Caenorhabditis elegans: one gene and its partners. Changing the gene in region 1 together with any one later gene gives a genetic interaction. Each region holds a gene or a part of one and is shown in the gene's direction. Other genes may lie near its edges.

Region 1 (6,875 bases):
AAATATTTCGATTGATCAATATACAAGAAATAAGGCATTATTGATTGGGGAAAGTGAAACAGAAAAAATTGCCGAGAACCATGAATGTCGGTTTGCATTGTGTCTTCTAGTCTTGCTTGTTTTCACGCTTCTTGCGATCTTCTTGTTTGGTAGCAGCGAAGAGCCAGATACCCAAAACCACGTGGACGAGGACGACAGCAATGATCGCAGAATAGGTCAAAGCGTCGTTTGCACTGACACCCAGGAGCCCTGAAATAGGAGAGAAAATGGAATTTTATTCATTTTTCAAAAATTAAAAATAATCGGTAGAACAAGCTCTGTACCTTCGAAAAAGAATTGTTTCAAGAGGAACATAGAAGCAAGAGGAACGATGAGAATCACAAGACTATACGTGAGAAGGTTCTTGACAGCGGATTGGACTTCCTGATCACGAAAGTTCGGGAACAGAGTTGCCATTGTTGATGGTTCGGATGAAGAGGAAGTGGTCATTTCGCTGCAAACAACTCGGTATATCCATGGGTTTAAAATCAAATAATTATTATTGGAATAAAAAATAAGATTATTAAGGGGAGAATAGGTTCATACCAAGGTTTCTGGGAGAATCTTACCGAAAATTTGTTTTTTTTTAATTAAAAAAAATCCCGGATATCCCGAGTTGAATCCAGCGGCGCCAAAAGTAAAGGAAATCAAGAGATACAAAATTTGACAATTTCAAATTAAAATATAGTAAAGCGAAAACTACGCTTCAGAGAGAAAAATTCAATTAGTAAGGAAAAAATATAACAAAAAAAATTTATTCGTTATGTACAAAAGCATCTAGCCAGAGGCACTAATATAAATAGAACGGGTCGAAGTGATCACAAATAAGTAAACGAGGTCCAAACGGGAAGTGAATGTTCAGGAGGAATTTTTGAAGAAGATAATACACAGCCACGCTATTCTTTCTTTTTCTCTGCTCTGAGTTTGTCTTCGGCGTCTTTCTCTTCTTTCCATGCAATATAACAGAAAGCGGCAGCAATGAGAATTACGACCAAGGCAGCACATACTCCGGCATAAAGCATGGCTTCTGCTGGTGGTAAATGGAAGTGGTCTGAAACAAATTATCTATAAAATTGATTCTGGAAAAGTCCACTTACCGATGAATACCCAATAATACAAGCTTGCCATAACAAGCAGTGGAAGTGTGAACATCATTGCAGAAAATGCGATGAGCAGAGTTATAGCTCTATTCGAATGCTCTGCTGTGTAGAATTGTTCTTGATCGGGTCGAATCGGTGCTTTCAGTGCCTCTTCTACTAGGTCCTCACCGTCTTTCTCTTTCGGCCGATTTGCGTCGTCTTTAATTGACTGATCAACGAATGGAAGCTTCATCTCCTCTTCAACTTCATCATCTTCCTCTTTCGCCGATTTGTCAGCATTGTCATCCTCGTTTTCACTGACAGATTGACTACCTAAACTATTAATTCACTAAACAAAAAACATATATTTGTAAAATACCATTTTTCTTTTCATCAACAGCTTCAAAACTATCTGAAGTGCTGGATTTTCGTTCAGCTCCGTCGATCAGCTCGAAGTCTTGCTCCTGTTCTGGAGTATCGCTCATTCTGGAAAGATTTAAATACAACCGAGGAACCAGAAGAGCGCATGAAAATATAGAGCGTGTAATTTAACGTCAGTTATTGACAGAGAAAATAGAATTACGAAAGACCAAATCGGGCAACGAGGAAAACGTTTAACACAAACACAACACTGAAAATAAGCAAGAAAAGGAGGAAGTTATCGGAAAACCGAAGAACTTTCAACTTCGGAAAGAACCGTTTAATTTATGTTTAAAATCAAACAAAAAATTCCCGAAACATCCCTTTTAAACTTTGATTTTCACGAAAAACAACGAATGACCGAAAAATGTGATCAATCTCTGAGAGTGTGCACTTTTGCGTGACGGTGAACTGTCCGCGTGCACCAGATTCGACGCGCAAAATAATCGGCGCGAGGTTCGAACGAACGTTCGTGAATTTGTGGGAGCGGTTTTTAATGTTTAAAAATCAGTTTTGGTTTATTTTATTTGAAAAAAAAAACGATAAAAGCTATATTCCAGCAGTATCTAAAATGATCTTCTTTTAATATTCTAATTTTAATGTTTTAAAATTCATTTTTCGCTGCAGCAAAAAGTTGGTGTTTGCGTACAAAACCCGCGCCAGTCTTGAAAAACGCACGCATTATTTATTCACATGTTTCGCAATATTTCCATATGAACTTCTCAACATCACCAATTTAAATTAAGTTACAGGAATGCCGCCTAAAAAGGTATCTCCCGGGATTACCGTAATCCTTATCGACGCAGGATCCAATATGTCTGTGAAAGACACTGAAACTGGAAAAAGTGCATTTGAAAATGCGATCAATGCTGCAGATTGGATTGTTTCGAGAAAAGTGATACTAAAATTCGAGAAAACTTTCAAAGAAAAAATTGTTTTCAGCTATTTTCCAAAGATCCCGAGCTCTTCTCAGTGATGGCCTACAATTTGGATCCGAAAGAATACAAAACAGAAGTTGGCGGTCAAACATTTAATGGAGTCCAGTGTCAAAATGAAAAGTTTACACCAGCCAGCTTTGATCATTTAAAGTTTATCACAAAGGAATTGCAGCAAAATACAGAAATGATAGATCCAAATTGTGAGAGAATATCCAAGACAAATTCAAAAATCCTATTTATTTTTTTCAGTTTTCAAAGGTGTTCTGGGAGCCGTCGCAGTGCTAAAAGATCAAATCGAATCGTATCCGAATCCATCAGGAATCACGTTGATTGTACTGACAAATGGATTAAACGAGAACATTCGACAAGAAAATTTCGATCTTTTAGTTGAAGCCGTTAGTGAAAGTAATGCAGATTTGATGATAATGTAAGATTTTTCCATTTTAGCGTTGAAAAAAAAATACTTATTCCAGTGGAATCGATGAAAATCCAGAATATCCTGCTTCTCGAGTTGCAGAATTGGCAGAAACATTAGAAGGAAGAACATATACTTTTCAGTGAGTTTTTAAAAATAAAATTGGCGATTTTTGCGCCAAAAATACGGAATCTAGACACGCTTTTTGCGAAATGTTCATCGATTTTCCATAATTTTTCGTTAAAAAAAACTGAAATAATGGTTTTTAAAAACACATAAATATTATTTGAGAAATCTTTAAAAATTCCACAACAACGAAAATTTAAAATAACAGTACCCTTTAAAGGAACACGCTTGTTTGTATCTAACAATAATTGTCGTGTCAAGACCGGCTACCGTATTTTCGGCGCAAATACTATAACATTTCGCGCCTGGAGTAATATCATCATAATTACAATTTCCAGAAACGTCGCAAAGATGCTCTCCACCTTCCAGGCTCGTCAGAAATCCGAGAGAAAATACAATAAAATGTGGGATGTAAGAGTTTTTGAAGAAATCTAATCTAATACAATAAAAATAACGTTCAGATTGCTCCTGGAATCCATCTCCCGGTGATTTTTGCTCTAAAATCTGAAAAATCTACAGCACTACTCAAGTTCAAAAATGCAGATTCCGAAGGAAATGAAATGGTTCGATTGGAACAAATGCACGTGGAAACTGACGAAGTTGCTCCGAAAGATGAATTCAAATCGCCGGTTCTGGAAGAGAAACCGAAATTTCAGAAAAACTTTAAACCCGTTGAAAATATAAAAACTATGCATGGTAGTGAAATTCTAAATTTTTTAAAATCTATTATTAATGCGTCAGGCTACAATTTCGGAAAATCGGTTATCATGATGGACCCAGAATATCTTAAAGAAAAATACAATGATCATAATTTCAACGAGGGACAGACTGGTGGAGTGCTAAAACTGATACAGTTCACGAAAAGAGCAAATGTAAGATATGACATGGTCTCGCAACGACGGAGAATGTTAAATTAGAGGCGACGAAAAAAGGGTGTGCGCCTTTAAAGAGTACTGTAATTTCAAAATTTCGTTTCCGTTGAAATTTCATCGATTTTTCACAGTTATAACACGATATTTTGAAATTTGTATTTTAAAATAGACAAATCATGGTCATTTTTTTGAGAAAAAAACCGAAAAACTAATCACGAAATTTTACCAAAAAAATCTCATTTCAGATCCAGTTGTCACAATAATAATTCCGACCAAAAACAAATTTCTCCGAAAAAATCGGTGTCTTACCTCTCTTCTAAAATTAGCATTTTTGAAAAAAAAATAACGTTTTTTTTACTTTTTGGTTCAAAATCACAACAAAAGAAAGATAGCCATTCATAAATCGCAAAATTTCGCATCTCATAATTGTAATAATTATTTCTAGATTCTCGACTCATATCTCCTCGATGCCAGCGCGAAAACAGTACTTCCTGCTCTCAATTCACCAAAATCAGGTGCCACCAAAGCTACCGTATCCCTCATCGAAGCAATGCTTTCACTTCGAGTCGCTGCCATTTGTCGATACACATTCCATGCAAAATCTCATGTGCAACTCATTGCTCTTCTACCACATCAAGATGAAGAAACTGGCGTTTTCTATCTAAGATCAGTGAAATTACCATTTTCCGATGATATGAGAACATTGAAATTCCCGAAATTCTCATTTGACGAGGAAGATGAAGATTTGAATAAGCCTACTGGTATATATTCATTCAGACTTTTGAATTTAACAAAAAACTAATTAAATTTCAGTAGCTCAACTCTCCGCTGTAGATGACCTTATCGATTGTATGCAATTACAAGAAGATGAAATGTTTGAATTTCAGAAAAATATTGTCCAATAAAAAATTGTTTTCAGCTCTTCACTGGTCGAAGGTGGAATGAGTGATCCAAAATTGCAGATGCAATGCCATTTTCTCAAAAGTTTAGTTCTACATCCAAACGGTACATATTCTTGTGAATTCGGTTTAAATGAAATAATATTATTGTCATTTCAGATACCTTCGAAAATCATTCCAATCGAACCAATCAAATTCTCGATCAAATAATGGCACCGAAACGCAGAGTCGAAGCAGAACATCCGGAGATTTTCCAGAAGCTTGGCCGCGAATTCAATCTGCAACCAATTCAGAAAACCAAACGAGAACGGGTTACGGTAGAGCCTGAAGATCTGCAGACAATGATATCCGAATGGACGGAGAAAAAACAGAATATGACACAACCAGATGAGGTAGATGATGGTGCAAGTCAAAAGAAAAAGAAAAAACCAAATGCAAAGAAATTGACGAGAAAAGAAGAAGTTCAAATGGATATCATGGAAGATGGCGGAGCTAGTCGTGTTTGCTCGAAAATTCTTGAAATGATTTCAAATACTTGCAAATTTCAACCAAATGGAGCAGTTACTGAGTTCTTTACGGTATTTTCAAAAATAGATTTTCAAAATAAAACTTTAAATTTTAAATTTACAGCTTCTCGTCAATGAATTGAATGTTATTCGCTCAGTTTTCGTTGAAAACTCAAAATGTGACGAGTTCAATGAACTTCTCAAGAAGTTGAAAGACGAAGAAGACTTTGAACCATTTGCTGAAGTTCTTTCTGAAGGTACTACCATTTCATGTCCACTTTTCTGCCATTCCTCATTCAACAAATTTCAGAAAAATCATGCAATCCAATTGATTCTTCCGAAGTCAGCATGTCAGAAGTCTCCGTCGCCAATGCTGCCGAATTCTGGGAAGAAGATTGAGCATTTTTATTTTATTTTATGGCAATGTATCTCAAATAACTAACTACAATCATTTTAAAGCTGTGAATGAACTGAAATGAAAATAAAATCATACTACCGTATCATGGTGATCACCCAAAGAACGCTTTTTAATGTGAAAGTCAGCATTTTTTTTATTTAGTACGTACAGTGAGAGGAAAAAGTAGGGAAAAGCAAGATGTAGGCTCGTAGGTAGGCGAAAATGTGATGTACCCAAGTGTATCGGTAGGCAGACTGGTAACAATAACAGAGAAGTACTCAAACATCGATCTTAATGTCTACCGACTTGTGTGCATAATGCATGCCTATAGGTATACCTATGCACCTCCCACAGGTTTCAATGCCTAGTTTATCGCCTACATCTAGCCAATGTGCCTGCCTACTATCTTTGACGGAGTTTGTGCCACTAAAATGACGACTCAGGTATTCACAAATTTAAGAAACAAGTTCAGTTTATTCAAATCTTCAATTTCAAGTAATAGATCAAGTTCCGATGGAAGTTTTAATCTTTCTCCTTTTTTCACTTCTTCTCGTATGCTTCCAGTTTATCGAGTTGATCATCTGGGCTTCTATCGCCGGTTGTCTTCTCCCGCTCACTTGACACTTCCCAACCGATTTCCATCTCTCGTTTCTCAAGTCTTTTAATAATTGCCAGATTCTCCTCAGAATCAATATCAGAGAGTGGTTCGACTTCAGATCCAGACGAGAGGGCCACTTCATCTATAACAAGAGTATGACCAACAATTACAATAATAATAAAAAATACCTTTAACAGAAAGAGCAACTAGATTCTCATAGTTTCTAAAATGTTCTCTTTCCTCTTGATCCAAGTCTTCGAAAAACTCAACTTCAGAATCCTCTTCAGACTTCAGACTCCATTTGAACTTCCTCTTCTCTTCTCCTTCATCAGTTGCACACGTAGACGAAGTCCACGTGGATAACGATGTGGCAGACGTAGAATCATATGAGCCTGTCATTGCCGACTGTGTACCAGTAAAATCATGTCTCATTCCCAACAAAAACTCGCGGGTGATCAGTCCGCGGCTGACCTTTTTTCCTCTTCCCGGCTTCGGCTTCGGTGGTTCAGATAATTTCTGAAAATTATAAATTTTCAAAGACTCGTTTATATTATCGCGACGCAGAAACTATAGTTTTGAAATCAAA
Region 2 (8,838 bases), on another chromosome or scaffold:
GAAGTGTTACAATATCTTCAAATTTTGGAATCTTGCCCCCTAATATTTTCAATTCATATTCTCCCAGCTAGATCTTAACTGGAACTTTAAAATCTAGAGCGACCTCATTTTTGCGTGCCAGATAGCAATCTCGACTGTTCCTCTTCTTCCTTCACAGTTTTCCTTATTCATCCCATTCACCGGGTCACTTCACTTCAATATGAGAATCATCATCATCTGTCTCATTTTTCTGGCATTCTTGGTTAATCTAGTGGATAGTGTATGTAAAGCAGGTTAGTTGCCATTTGTATTCTAATCCATCAAACAAATTCGATGTTTGTAGAGGATTACTGTCCCGGAGGTTGGAATGTGATGAGAAAGGCAGATGATACCCCACAGACTTGTGACGCAATGGGCGGAGTCAAATGTCAAAAACCGTATTCGTGTGTGCATTCTAGATGTGGAATGGATTTCTGTTGTGCTCACACTTGTAAGTGCAAATATGAATGTTGAAAGTAAATCAAATTGTGCTTTTCCAGATAAAATTGACCAATGGAAGCGACAACAAGAAATTGAAGCCGACATTAAAGAAGCAGAAATGGAAGATGCTGAGCTCTGAAAATTGTTCTTTATTTCGTTTTTTCCTCACGTTTGAACGTCAATGTTTGCTCATTGCTCTCTTGGATTAGCTTTATTTGCAGAAACGTTTTTCACTTTTCCTATTCGCTCAATTTCTTTTTTTTTTCAAACTTTCTCCATAAAAAATATTGTGTTTTATTTTTGAAAACGAAGCAAGTCAAAAGGACGTTATTGAGAAAAAGAGTGAGAAAAGTTCACACCGATAATTTTTTACTCTAAAGCGACAAACATAGTTGAAGTGGATGAAATTTGAATTTCGCGCGCACTGACTGTTATATAAACTTGTTTTTTTTTAACAAACAGAAAGTTTTGTATTAAAAAAATCAATCTAGAAAATGAAAAACTTGAGCGTCTACTTAAAATTATAATAAATTTTCAAGCATATTCTCTCATTTTTCAAAAAAATGTTCAGTTTCTCTTTTAATTCCTCAGTATGCACTGCATTATAAGCTTTGATGTTTTCCCCATTTAAACTACTCCCTCTTTAAAACATATTTAACACTTGATTACCCATCAAAATCCCGATTAATTCGATCAAGATGTTTGGAAATTTGAGAATGGGAAATCTGATTAGTTCTTGATAAATTTGGTTTTTATATATTTTTTTAATATTTTTCACTCTGTGAATAGACATGAAAATACAACAAAAAAATTTAAAAATTGAAAATCTTCTGGAAAACTTTTGAATTAGTTTTTCAAAAAGTTGGCAGTAGGCTTCAAAAACTCAAAAAATTGATTTCAAAAACTCAAAAAATTGATTTCAGTTTGAAAAGCGGCATTTTCAATATTCTAGAAGAACCTGATTTCAATTTTTAAAAGTTAAAATTAGAAAAAAGTTTTGCTATAGTAAATAAACACCGTAGTTTTTGTTAGTTTCATAACCATGTGAATCCAATAGATCACTGTTCAAAAATTGTAGAAAAAGTCAACAAAAACAACACCAGAGATCAGAGCCATGCGATTGATTTGAGAATTTAAAATCATTCAAACCTTCCACGCAGGCCGAAGTAACTGATCTGGAAGTTGTGCTTTATAAAAAAAACAGACATAGTTCAGTACTTAAAGCGGAAAACATTGTGGACACGCAGATTGTGCTTGTGTTTTTGGTTGAGGGTTTATTTTACTGATAGCCTATATCTGACGTACTGATATGTATTTCATGTTCTTCTACAAACGTTTATTGAAAACTAGTAACTTCTCCGTATCTGCTCTTGACTGTGTCTAATCGTTACAACACTTTTCAATTGGGCTTGTAAATTAGCCTCAAGGTTACGTGGTAAGGCGAGACACACTTCCGATTCTTTCACAGTACTTCTCACCGATTTGTTGCCCATTGCAATGATGCCTAATTCCTTCGGCCTGTTTACGTGTTTAGAGGGCAACACGTAGATGCATGTTCTTCTCTGGTGTTCTCTCTTCCCATCTCACACTCCCTCACTCGGTTCCATCGCTTGTCACCGTACGCCAGACAACTACTCTCTACAAAAAACACACTGCCTCACCCCCTCTCCCCCTATCTGCTGTCCACCACCTGCACCATTCGGCGGGGGTGATGGCGATTGGAGACTGGGGTGACCGACCGAAACCATTAAATCGACGCTCACTGTTGCGTGTATGTGTGTGCCCTCCCTTTCTCCTCCTTTCGCCCAGAAAAACACTCACACAAACAATATCGATTCGAGTATAGTGTGCAAGGTGAAGAGACGGAGGGCCCGACGGGGTGAGCACACAAACAACATTGGTTTGAATTTTTTCTGCCTTGCGATGTTTCGAAAAGTTGCGTATTTAATTTGTTGTGATGTGATATGTTTTGTTTTTTTTGCCAGTTTTTTTCTCTTAAATTTCATAATAAAATCAGGCAGTATTATATATTCTTTTCTCAGCCCATCAAAACCAACAGGTGATTATAATCGTGAGAAACACGAACGTCTCCCAGTCTTCTTCCTTCTCAAGCCCTTTTGTCTTCATAAAAGTGTTTGCTCGTTCTGTAAAGCGCACAGATTTTGGTGCGATGAATCATGCGTAGTTCAAAATCAAACAAAGACAGAGACTCGATGCTTGCAAGTTTTGTTACTTTTTTATTCTCACTTCAATACTTCTTTTTTCACCGCTCTTTAATATCTTTAATATCTTCCTTAAAATTGTGTTTTGCAGGTACTATGGCTCCCGCAACGGAAGCCGACAACAACTTCGACACCCATGAATGGAAATCGGAATTCGCATCCACACGCTCTGGACGCAATTCTCCAAACATTTTTGCAAAAGTTCGCCGGAAGCTTCTCCTGACTCCACCAGTTCGAAACGCCAGATCGCCACGTCTTACCGAAGAAGAGCTGGATGCTTTGACAGGCGACTTGTATGTTACCCCCCTCCCCCTTTTTCTCATTCAAATTTCGCGCCACATACGGCCGAGGTTTCACGCGCACCTGCTAGGCCACGTTTTGTTTGTGTATTTTGGAACTCAGTTTGCTTGTACTTGACGCCCTAGAAGCCTTTGACAAATATGTAAAAGCTGTGTTGTTCTGAGCAGTGAGGTGGAAAAGAGGAAAAGTAGAACACCAGAAAGTATCGGGTTACAAGGGTGGGTTAAGGCGAAGGAATCTGAGCGGGAAGAAGAAGAATAAAGGTCACTTACCAGTGAGCTCTTGGTGGTTCCGTTTCTTTTTGAGTTTTAAGTCTGTGTGAATGTTGGTTGTTTAATTTTAAATATGTAGTGTTTACAAGTCTTGTATAAAAATTAGAAAACCAAGGCGAAACGAAACCTATAATAGAAGATTAACTTTTCCTGGCATTTTCAAATGTTGAACTTATATTCCTAATGTAATAAAATTTTCATAATTTCTTTTTCAGACCATACGCAACCAACTACACATACGCATACAGCAAAATCTACGATCCATCCTTGCCGGACCACTGGGAAGTGCCAAACCTTGGTGGTACTACTTCAGGATCACTCTCTGAGCAGGAGCACTGGTCAGCGGCCAGTCTCAGCAGACAGCTTCTCTATATCCTCCGTTTCCCCGTCTACCTTGTTCTTCACGTCATCACCTACATTTTGGAAGCTTTCTACCACGTCATCAAGATCACTAGCTTCACCATCTGGGACTACCTGTTGTATTTGGTGAAACTCGGTAAGTTGTTTTTCTGCAAAATGTTAGAATTAAAAAAAAAATTTTTTTTCAGCGAAAACTCGTTACTACGCCTACCAAGATCATCGTCGCCGTACAGCTCTCATTCGCAACCGGCAAGAGCCATTCTCCACTAAGGCTGCTCGTTCTATTCGTCGATTCTTTGAGATCCTTGTCTACGTCGTGCTTACTCCTTACAGAATGCTCACAAGAAGTAACAATGGCGTGGAACAGTACCAGTACCGTTCGATCAAGGATCAATTGGAAAATGAGAGAGCTAGCAGAATGACGACAAGATCTCAAACATTGGAAAGAAGCCGCAAGTTTGATGGATTATCGAAATCACCAGCACGCCGAGCAGCTCCAGCCTTTGTGAAGACTAGTACAATTACCAGAATCACTGCCAAGGTGTTCTCGAGCTCTCCATTCGGAGAAGGAACGTCCGAAAATATAACCCCGACTGTTGTGACTACTAGAACAGTGAAGCAACGCTCAGTTACCCCAAGATTCCGCCAAACCCGTGCCACTCGTGAAGCTATAACTCGAGCACTCGATACTCCGGAACTCGAAATCGACACACCACTCTCCACATATGGACTTCGAAGCCGAGGACTGAGTCATCTGAATACTCCTGAACCAACTTTTGACATTGGTCATGCTGCTGCAACTTCCACGCCTTTGTTCCCACAAGAAACTTACAATTATCAATACGAAGAAGCGACAGGAAATAAGATTAAAACTGCATTCACTTGGCTAGGTTACTTGATATTGTTCCCGTTCTTTGCGGCACGACATGTATGGTATACGTTCTACGATTATGGAAAGAGTGCCTACATGAAGCTGACCAATTATCAGCAAGCGCCAATGGAGACTATTCATGTCAGGTATGAACATTTTAAATTTATGATGACCGAGTTCAATTTTTTTCATGTTATTTATACAGAGATATCAACGAACCGGCACCAAGTTCATCAGATGTTCATGATGCTGTTGGTGTTTCTTGGAGAATTCGAATTGCCGATTTCTTGAGCTCATTCGTAGCAACAATCGTTGAAGCGCATCAAGTGGTATTTGCAATGTTCAAAGGAGGAATTGTTGAGACAGTTTCCTATTTTGGAGGACTATTTGCTGGTCTTACCGATAAGAAATCATCAAAGTTCTCGTGGTGTCAAATTCTCGGTCTACTTCTGGCTCTTCTCTTCGCCATCTTTCTCCTTGGATTCCTGACATCTGACAACACAGCAATAAGAGTTAAAGAAATTACCAAAGATAAGAATGCATCTAAGAAGTCGGAAGGATCCCTCCCAGCTGTGCCAATCTGGATTTCAGCTGCAAATCACGTTAAACATTACACATGGATGGTGAAGGAATTTGTTGTAGATATTGGTATGTTATAAATCTCATTTTTCTGTTCAGTGTAGAAAACAACATCTTTAAATTCCAGCATTTGACACGTACAACTATGGAAAGTCGACGATTGGTAGACTTGGCACTACTCCACGTTATGCTTGGGACCTGATTGCAAGCGGATGTGGCGCTGTTGGAAATGGCTTAAAATCTGTGCTCTCATCGAGTTTTCGATTCATCGATTTTTGTGCTGGAAAGCTATTTTACTATGGCTCAGATGGGTTCTTGTCAGCAAACAAGTCTATCGGAACCTTTTTCAACGGTTGCTACGAGACCTTGTACAACGGATGCACAGCAATTGGTAAGGAAAATACAAATTGTATGCAGTCAAAATGTGGTAAAACTTTAAAAAATTAAAATTCGATCAATCCATTATGCTGGAAATCTTTAGTAATTTTCAACATCTTATCAATGGGACATGAGTATTAGCTTTTATTTTTCAGAACAGTAATTTACTTGGTATTTGTGAAATAGAAAACTGAATTCCAAAATGTTTGTAACGAATGAAATAAAATGGAAATAAAAGTGTTGAGCAACATGCTAGTATTATTTTATTTTTCAGGCTTAGAACTTATTAACTTTTTGAGTTATTAATTGAGTAGAATCCTAAGCCTAAAATACCATTCACGTTTTATTTAATTTTTTTTGAAACATCAAAAAACTTTTGTAGTACCAGCAAGTACCATTTACACGTAAAAAAATGATATTATCTGTTTTCACTATTTGTATTTACAACAAGAAAGACACTACAAAAAACCAAAGAAAATCGCTTTTTTTACAGTTGGCCATACAAAGAGCTTCATCTACAATGCTTCAAATGCTGTTTACAACTTTTTCTCAACTATCTTTGCCGGTCTCTTAAACTTTTCTACTTCTTCCCAAAACTCCATTCTTTCTCTTCTCAAGTCATTTGGCACCGGAATCACTAACATTTTTTGTAAGTGCTACAATTTTCAAACTATAAACTTAAATGGTGTTTTTTCTTCAGATAACTTCATTTATGCACCAATCGCTGGAGTGTTCAACTTTGCTGGTGATAACTACATGTATTTCTTCAATGAGGTAGCGGCAGTCTTTGGAAAAGTGTACAACTCCGTGGTTTCCGTGCTCAAAACTGTAATTAACTGGATTCTCTTCCTCATTGCCTACCCATTCAGTTTGTGCACTCGTGCTTGGATTCGCATCAGCCAATATGCTCCAGAAGATGTTGTTCAAGTGATTCCAATTCCACAAGCTATTACCCCAACTCCGGATGTGGAGCGTATTGTTGAAGAGCCACTGAGAAAAGTCACCGATGTGGAGGACGAAGAACTAGTGATAATTCCCGCCCCCGCACCTAAACCTATCCCAGTCCCAGCGCCAACTCCGGCCCCAGTAATTATCCATCAGACTAACGTTGTTGAGACTGTTGACAAAGATGCTATCATTAAGGAGGTAACGGAGAAGGTAACTAACTAATCAATTATTGAATGATTGATGTTTTGTACATATGTACATAATAAAGATTTTTGTTATTTTTAGCTTCGCGCCGAGTTGTCCGCCCAATTCCAGCAAGAGCTTAGCGCAAAGTTTGAGCAAAACTACAACACAATTATTGAGCAACTGAAAATGGAAAACACCAACATTCAATATGATAAGAATCATTTGGAAGCTATCATCCGTCAAATGATCTACGAGTATGACACGGATAAAACTGGGAAAGTTGACTATGCCCTGGAGAGCTCAGGTGGAGCTGTTGTGTCAACAAGATGCTCGGAGACGTACAAAAGCTACACAAGGCTGGAAAAGTTTTGGGATATCCCAATCTACTATTTCCATTACTCTCCAAGAGTTGTCATTCAGGTGAGCGCTTTAGGATCCTCTGACTCCAAGCCTATTATCTTTTCATTTTCAGAGAAATTCCAAATCCCTGTTTCCTGGGGAATGCTGGTGCTTCAAAGAATCCCGTGGCTACATTGCTGTCGAGCTGTCTCATTTCATTGATGTTTCTAGCATCAGCTATGAGCACATTGGATCAGAAGTTGCTCCAGAAGGGAACCGGTCGAGTGCTCCAAAGGGAGTCCTCGTTTGGGCTTACAAGCAGATTGACGACCTGAACTCGAGAGTTTTGATTGGCGACTACACTTATGATCTTGATGGCCCGCCACTTCAATTCTTCCTTGCCAAGGTAAGTCCGAATGATTAATTCTTGACAAGTGTGTGGCTATTATCGAATTAACATTTTCAGCACAAACCCGATTTTCCTGTCAAGTTTGTGGAGCTCGAGGTGACAAGCAATTACGGAGCTCCGTTCACATGTCTCTACCGCCTTCGTGTTCATGGAAAAGTTGTTCAAGTTTAATTTATTTTGTTAATCTTGTTTTTATGGTCAAATTTTCAATTTCCATTGATCTGATTCCGAAATGTTTCAATTTCACCCCTCTCCTGCCAATTTTTCAAATCACAATTCATTTTCCCAAATTTTTCCAGTTCCCTTGTTATATTTTTAGCGCGTGTCCATTTTTTTTCAAAGTATAGAATATCATTACATTTTCATGCAGTTTACCGGTCTCCTGAATACTTGGCCTGAATATATTTGAATGCAAAACCAATCACTCTCTATTTCTCTGCAGCCTTTACCCCCTGATCTCAAAATACTTTATCGATTTTCATAAATTATTTCAATATCTTTTGTTCTTGTAAAACTGAACTAAAACCCATTATGTGGAAGAGTGAATAAGTGTTAGATTGGCATAACAAACCGTAACCGATGGATTCGCAGCAAACGACATTAATTGAGTATACCGCCTAACACATTCATTGATCATTTCTTTTGTATTCCTCGGGCTATATATACTAAACCATGCGAGAGCGTTAACATTGTATTTTCTTCAATTTTCATGGAGTCCTGTGTAGATTTAAAATTACGAATTTTCAAATTTGTGGCGTACTCTGTCGTTGGAAGCTCAGTAATAGCTACAGCGTTTCTTTGTGTAACACTACCGTTGATTTACGAGCATGCACAAAATGGAATGATGACTATTAGCAGAGAAGGAGCATATTGCAAGGTGAGTGATAAACTAAGCATTAGTAATGTTTTGTGCTGAAATAGTTTTTAGTAGTGTATACCTGAACATTTTAGTAATTGAAGTTCTTCCTAGCAAAACATAATTGTCATTTTACATAGAAGTTTGCGGCAATTAAGAGTATAATATTTTCAGAAGTCTATAAACGAAATCTGGTTTGATATGACCGAAGATGTCGACATCGTCCACAATCGAACAATTCGCGAAGCTTACACTGTTACTAGAGGTGAAGGTAACACTGGTTACGCTGTTGGAAGAGGAAGCAATATTAAACCCCGCGGCTATAATACTGGGTATAGATCCCAGAAAAAGAAGAATAATGGTTGGAGAAGCCCACCACGCAGCGGAATTGTTGTTGCGTCAGAAGGAGGAACCTGCATGGGATGCTGCAATCCAGGTCCTCCCGGTCCATCTGGCCACCCAGGAAAACCAGGTCGACCAGGAAGACCAGGTGGTCACGGGATGCCAGGAATGCCCGGACTAGGCGCATCGCCTTGCCAACCTAGAACTCAATCACAGTGTCAACAATGTCCACAGGGACCCCCAGGCCCTCCAGGTCTGAACGGACAGCCCGGCCTGCCCGGTGGAATGGGGCCACCAGGTCAGTCAATGTCAAACGT
Region 3 (6,283 bases), on another chromosome or scaffold:
GCCGACGAGCAGACATACAACACAAAACGATGCTTCATCCACGTCAATCACTTATCGATCGCGATCGCCGTCGTCGAGCTCTCGATTTTAATTTATCAGGTAATTTGTTTGCCTGCAACTCAGACCAACGCTTAGTCGTCTAATTAGATTTCAACCATATTTGATTAGAAACTGAGCAAATATAATGGGGACATAATTAATAGGCTTATGGATTTTATTTGATTTGACAATATGGATTTTCTAACCAAATATGGTTAAAATCTAATCCAATATGGAGCAAATCTAATCAAATATGGCTGAGATCGTGCCATATTGGATTAGATTTCGACCATATTGGATTAGATTTGTTTTCTAATGAAATATGGAGAAAATCTAATCTAACATGGATTTCTAATCTAATATGGAGCAAATATAATGCAATATGGATTTTCTAAAAAATATGGTTGAAATCTCGTTGAATATGGTTGAAATCTAATTAGACGACTAAGCGTTTATCTGAGAAACTGGAAAAACCTAAAAAAAATCTGAAAATTTTCAGTTTTGTGTGGAAAAAATCAATGAAAAACTCAATCCTACAGTAATTTAAAAATTCTTTTTCACTAAAAAAATCAGTTCCCATTGAAAAAACAAACTGAAAATCAATTATTTCAGCTCTCAAATGGCAGTTGGGGCAATTCGGAGCACTCGACCGTCTTCACAATCGCCGCCTTGCTCTTTCTGCTCGTCATTTTTCTGCTTTTCGTCGCGATTTTCTACCAAATCGGAAATCTTCTCATCCCGCACATCGTCATGCAGATTCTGCTCGTTTTGTGCTTCCTGGGACTCACATGTGCGACGCTTTATGCGCTTTTCCACGGTGCCACGTTTCAGTTGCTCGTCGTGGTTACAAATCCGCAAATCGCCGCTGATTCCATGGTAAGTGTGGTAAAAAATGAAATTTGTTTCCTTGGGAAATTCCTTCTTTTTCCTCAATTTTTCCTCATTTTTTTGCTTCCAAAAAAAAGACCCATTTTGCGAAAAAAATTTTTTTTTTTCATTAATATATGTATTTTAAATTTTCCAGACAATTCTCCCGGCGCCAATGATCACAACAAACGTGGTTTCCGGATTCCTAGTGGGCCTTCTCGTCATTTTCGCAGTCTCCTACTTGCTCATCGCTGTGCTGAATGTGAGCTTTTCCCATGGCGAGACCCATGTAACTTTAATTTTTGCAGACCTGGTGCATGTACGTCGTCATCGATAGTTACCAGCTTTTGAAGAGCCAGAAACTTCAATCTCGTACTCCGTCGGTCGAGGAGTATTGTGCGCCGAAGACGATTCAACTCTCACTATACCCCAATCAAATCGTTCAGGCCACCGATTTTTAGTCTATATTTTAGACCATTTGTTGAATTTTTCTCGAAAAAATCCGGTAAATTTTTGTGTATATATGTCCCGAAATTCTTCACTTTTATCACATGTGTCAGGCTTTAATTTTTTCATACTTTATTTTCGAATTCTGTACAAAAATCTTTGATATATTCTATTTATTCTTCTCAATTAATAATCACACGATCCATCTTTCCACCCGTCTCGCCACCTTTGCATCACATCTCGACACTCGAACTTTGGTTTTCCGGTTTTTTCGTTGACTTTATTGTGTAGCTGGCACATCCATAGCGCAAACGCCTCGCGGCTTTCCACTTTTGGCGGCGATTCTTTCAGATCTTTTCGGAGATCTTTGGCGCAGAAATCGCAGGGATATGTCTGAAAAATTTAGGCGTTTTTGTGGGAATCTTGAGCTTATTAGCTAACTTTTCCTAGAATAGACATGAAACTTCTGGCTCGATCCTTATCCTCGTCGGTAGGCTTTTCCGGGTAGTAAACCGACATTGTGTGTAGCAAATTCCACGTGGATCTGCCTGAAATTTGAAATTTTTGGTGGAAATTTGAATTAAAAGCGAACCGAGCTCATCCTTGTCTACTGGACATCCGTGCAACTTCGCTCCTGTGCTCGTGCTCGGCGTCGTCTCGGATTCTGCAAAGAACTAAAATAATTGAGATTTTTTGCTCTGGAAATCTAGGGAAATCACCTTTTTTCTTTATTTTTTCAGCCATTTCTCTGCCTTTTTTCATCATATCCTCTACACTGACGCATGCACGACACGGCTTTCCATCTGGACCGATTTCCATTCTGAAATTAATTTTTAAACTTGGTTTTCGTTTCGTCAGTTTTAGAAGCCGTTTTAGGGCGTAAACTTATGAAACTATACATAGTCTACGACAAATCTATAGAAATGCATTAAAAATAGGTCAAAAATGTGAGAAATTGCGCAAAAAATGATGCAAAAACGAAAAAAAATTAACTAAAAACAAGAAATGCAAGTGCGCTCCACTGACACGCGTTAGAGAGCGTAGACGCAGAGAAATCTCGAGATGAGGGAAATCGTGGCGCGCGGGAATCAAGCTTTTTTGAATTGTCTTGATTTTTAAAGCCCAAAAAATAGATTTTTGGCGGATTTTTGGTGGATTTTCTTGCTTTGCAATGTAAAAATTAATTATTTGTTGCATCTAATCACTTTTAACAGAGATTTACAATTTTTTTAGTGGTCTGAACCTGGGAAAATCCTTCAAAAATCAATTTTCCCTACAAAAATTCGTTATTTACCGCATTTTCCGCCCAGCTGATCAAAAATTCTTCTATTTTCTCAATTTATTGATAACACTCGCCCACCTCAAGCATTTTATCACCTGAAACTCGTCACACTTTACAATTTGTTTGCAGAAATATGCGAAAATGAGCGTTACTCAGCTAAAAAATCTGAAACACGCGATAGCTCAGCTTCTGGAGTGGGATGGAACGAAAACGGCGAGAAAGGCAAGTTTTTGGTGGAATTTATCGAAAAAACCTGATTTGTTTTTTTGCAGAAAATCGTCGACGAGGTGGTTCTTCTCTATCACGCTCTGGGAGCGGAGGCATTAAGTGAGGATAACCAGGAGATATATGATTTGTATGATTTATCTGCACGTATATTCAACTTAGCTAAGAAAGTTAGTTTTTTTTTTGTTAAAAAGTCGTAAACAACAAGTAAATTTAAAAATAAGCATTAAAAAATATTGAGGCTTATGAGAGCAAAAAATTCCAGGAAATCGAAGAAGCCAACCAACAATTCGAAAAAGAACGAAAAAAGGGCACAAGACGAAGCGAAAAACCAGTCCCAACTCCACTTTTCGAGCTATCAATACAACATTTAAAACGTTGCTGTCAGCAGGGAATCGATCACAATCAGGTGCCATGGATAGCATATTGTCTGAAACTACTGGAATTTCCAATCACAATCACCGAAAAATCGATCGAAAACGAGATTTCCAACGTGCTCCTATTGAGCTCCAACGCCTCACAGCTCCATTGGGCCGAGCATGCTCATTTGAGCAGCTTATGGAAATGGATTTGGAGCCGTGTCGAGACCGCCGATATTGGGGCACTCGCCATGAGAAATTATATGGAATTGGCGGCGAACTTGCTGGAAAACGTGGATTACGTGGTTTTCGAGAAGTCGCCTATTGACCTGATGGCGAAAGTGATGGGAACACTGAAGAAAAGTGTGGAAATGGGAAATCCCAAAGAATAGTGCGTGGAAAACGAGTTCTTGAAATAATGTTCAAAAAATTCAAATTGGCTTGGACTTAGGCTTAAGCTTAAGCTTAGATTTAGGCTTAGGCATAGGCTTACAAGGGAAGTATTTCAACTTATTCCCGGACTTCAGAATGAAACCTATGTCATTTCGAAGAAGACTCTTTAAGTAGGTCCCTACAAAAAATTTAGCGGCAGAGGAGCACTTTGACCTGGAAAAAAGTCGCTCTGAAAACTTTTCAGTGCATTTTTTCACGGCTTTCAAGGCCCGTAAAATGGCTCCAAATGCGAATTTTTGTAGATTTTTGAAGATTTCTAGGATGCTCAGGGGCCGGAGAGCACTCGGAATTTTTTTTGGAATTTTTTAAAATTTTCGAAAAAATCTGAAATTTTTTGAATAAGTCCATGGCAAAATTTTTCAGTGAATATATATATATATTTTTTTTAAATTTCAGAAAAGTTGTCAGTTATTTAAGATCAAAATTGGGTGTTTTTACACAATGAAAATTTTTTTGAGATTTTTCGGAACTGCAAAAACCAATTTTGGAAAAAAATCGGCACCCGGAGTCGAACCCCAGTCTTAAAAAATATTAATCAAACTCGCTAACCACTCGGTCATTCAACGACAATTTTTCTTGTAAATGAAATGGATGACAAAAAAACGTGACTCTTTGATATCTACTTAAATATATAGGGACGTGAGAAATAGCTTTGGAAAAGGAGAGGACGCAGAGAAAAATTTTCAGAGCGACTTTTTTCCAGTTCAAAGTGCTCCTCTGCCGCTAAATTTTTTTGTAGGGGCCTACTTAAAGGGTCTTCTTCGAAATGACATAGGTTTCATTCAGAAATCCGGGATTAAGTTGAAATACTTCCCTTGTTAGGCTCACTAGGGAATGACCAGAATAAATGGAGCGATATTCAAAAAAAATATATTGTATCGGAAAGCTGGCATTCTCTACTATAAGAATATGACTGAAATTTTTGCCCGTTCGGGCTGGAAATCTGAAATTTTTACGTCTGAAATTCTACACTGAAATCAGTGCATTTCCTATGGTTAACAGTGGATTTTTGTCTCTGGCGCCAACAGAAGTCTCACCACAATGGTGGAAGGGCGAAAACATCGGTTCGGTGGTCGAGTGGTGAACGCGTTCGCCTCTTGAGCAGAAGTTTGTGGGTTCGGTTCCCATACATGGTTTAACTTTTGGCCTTTTTTATACAAAATTTTCAGAACGGGAAACAAGTATTTAGAACATTTTTTTGAGGGTTTTACATAATTTTTTTGCTTTTTAATTGAACCATAATTACCCTGGAAACTTTTCAGAAATTTTAATTTTTTTCGAAAATTGTCACTTTTTTCTCCACCAAACCCATGAGAAAATTTGATCGAAAAATTTTTTTTTGAAATTTTTTTAAAAATGCATGAAATATTTTAGAGTGTCACAAATAACCTATTTTTCATTATTTTCAATGACCGAATCATTGATTCTGATGCCTTATCAAGACGTTTTACCAAATCGATATTGGCAAAACATCTTGTTTTTGAGGCTCCATATCTCTGCAGGAAAAAATCGCACTAAAAAGTGATCAACTAGAAACTTGTTAAACACAATGTGATCTAAAACATTTCAGTTGAACACTTTTTTGTAAAAAATTTCGTTGCCGAGTTGGAACCAATTGATTTGAGCTTCATTATTTTTGAATATTCTAAATAGTTAAAGATCTATATCTTGGCAACGAAATTTTTTACAAAAAAGTGTTCAACTGAAAAGTTTCAGATTACATTGTGTTTAACAAGTTTTCAGTTAATCACTTTTTAGTGCGATTTTTTCCTGCAGAGATATGGAGCCTCAAAAACAAGATGTTTTGCCAATATCGATTTGGTAAAACTTTATTTTAATTTTTTTTTTTCATATTATTGTTTTTATATTGGGTCAAAACGTATTTGCTCTGCTAAATAGTTAGCTGGCGCTAATTTTTAATTTTATTATTTTCGTATTTTGATAAATTTCACTGAAATTGTCACTTTAATAGTTTACATTCTATTGGTTTTCTTTTATTCAATGTCTTTTGATATCGGAAACGTGATGTTTGCCTTGCATCGTCATTTTCCCAATCCCCTCCCATCAAATCCCTCGATTTCGAGACATGAGCAGAAGGTGGCAGATCATTTGGCAAGCATTATAAAGGAATCTTATTATGGAGATACCAGTGTGGAAGAATCCGAATATTTGGTTCAAGAAGAATATGGCGATTGGGAGCCAGAAGTTTTTGAGGTATGTTGGTTTCGACACTATTAATTGTCATTTAAAAAACCTTTCAGCCGTATGACTGTGTGTTGCCGGATCAAGATGATGTATTGTTCGGTGAGAAAGCTGTATCAAGGGAAGAGTTGGATAAAGCGATCACCTTCTACCGTAGCGGAAAAATTGGAAGTAGGCCGATAACGACTATGCACCATAGTTATCGCTGGATACGAACCGATGCTCATATGAACAAACTGCGCAAGTACGAGAAAGATAAAAAAGCGTTCCAAGAAAGCGTGCGGGTTCGTTTGGCACAGCTTACACAACGGCTTTATGAGGAGGTCAAGGAGAAACTTGATAATGGTAACGAACATTAATATAACAAGTTTTAATATAAATATTTCAGGAGTCAATTTGCATGATTCTG

What was found. A genetic interaction does not mean that the proteins touch.
Region 2: of cku-80 (region 1) and unc-84, changing one suppresses a phenotype caused by changing the other (phenotypic suppression), as found in Caenorhabditis elegans (one study listed by BioGRID).
Region 3: changes in cku-80 (region 1) and atm-1 impair growth when combined (synthetic growth defect), as found in Caenorhabditis elegans (one study listed by BioGRID).

What each region holds. Positions count from the first base shown.
Region 1 is NC_003281.10:4,417,564-4,424,438, forward strand, and holds cku-80 (ATP-dependent DNA helicase II subunit 2), read left to right. Parts: upstream 1-2,284; 5' UTR 2,285-2,292; coding exon 2,293-2,433; intron 2,434-2,480; coding exon 2,481-2,676; intron 2,677-2,725; coding exon 2,726-2,903; intron 2,904-2,949; coding exon 2,950-3,033; intron 3,034-3,355; coding exon 3,356-3,428; intron 3,429-3,478; coding exon 3,479-3,713; intron 3,714-3,758; coding exon 3,759-3,889; intron 3,890-4,334; coding exon 4,335-4,650; intron 4,651-4,702; coding exon 4,703-4,763; intron 4,764-4,808; coding exon 4,809-4,894; intron 4,895-4,947; coding exon 4,948-5,366; intron 5,367-5,418; coding exon 5,419-5,551; intron 5,552-5,604; coding exon 5,605-5,693; 3' UTR 5,694-5,812; downstream 5,813-6,875. Other genes in the region: pdcd-2 (MYND-type domain-containing protein), read right to left, coding at 80-98; R07E5.19 (Vacuolar ATPase assembly integral membrane protein VMA21 homolog), read right to left, coding at 107-249, 324-489; R07E5.7 (vacuolar ATPase assembly integral membrane protein VMA21), read right to left, coding at 936-1,090, 1,137-1,451, 1,498-1,603; C28A5.6 (Protein kinase domain-containing protein), read right to left, coding at 6,232-6,431, 6,478-6,805.
Region 2 is NC_003284.9:13,582,003-13,590,840, forward strand, and holds unc-84 (Nuclear migration and anchoring protein unc-84), read left to right. Parts: upstream 1-2,772; 5' UTR 2,773-2,777; coding exon 2,778-2,974; intron 2,975-3,468; coding exon 3,469-3,749; intron 3,750-3,801; coding exon 3,802-4,630; intron 4,631-4,689; coding exon 4,690-5,132; intron 5,133-5,190; coding exon 5,191-5,454; intron 5,455-5,934; coding exon 5,935-6,090; intron 6,091-6,141; coding exon 6,142-6,599; coding exon of another isoform or gene 6,600-6,611; exon of another isoform or gene 6,612-6,669; intron 6,670-6,674; coding exon 6,675-6,995; intron 6,996-7,047; coding exon 7,048-7,320; intron 7,321-7,380; coding exon 7,381-7,494; 3' UTR 7,495-7,819; downstream 7,820-8,838. Other genes in the region: srf-5 (WAP domain-containing protein), read left to right, coding at 200-272, 323-469, 519-598; col-9 (Nematode cuticle collagen N-terminal domain-containing protein), read left to right, coding at 8,033-8,200, 8,354-8,838. UniProt on the Caenorhabditis elegans protein: Involved in nuclear migration and anchoring in hypodermal precursor cells. Most likely recruits anc-1 to the nuclear envelope where anc-1 functions to tether the nucleus to the actin cytoskeleton.
Region 3 is NC_003279.8:180,600-186,882, forward strand, and holds the start of atm-1 (Serine/threonine-protein kinase ATM), read left to right. Parts: upstream 1-2,764; 5' UTR 2,765-2,776; coding exon 2,777-2,857; intron 2,858-2,907; coding exon 2,908-3,030; intron 3,031-3,125; coding exon 3,126-3,610; intron 3,611-4,735; exon of another isoform or gene 4,736-4,810; intron 4,811-6,283. Other genes in the region: F56C11.5 (MARVEL domain-containing protein), read left to right, coding at 1-99, 652-915, 1,064-1,168, 1,215-1,367; F56C11.3 (Sulfhydryl oxidase), read right to left, coding at 1,540-1,746, 1,795-1,901, 1,946-2,017, 2,073-2,172. UniProt on the Caenorhabditis elegans protein: Serine/threonine protein kinase which activates checkpoint signaling in the presence of DNA double strand breaks (DSBs) and other forms of DNA damage induced by ionizing radiation and other genotoxic stresses such as UV.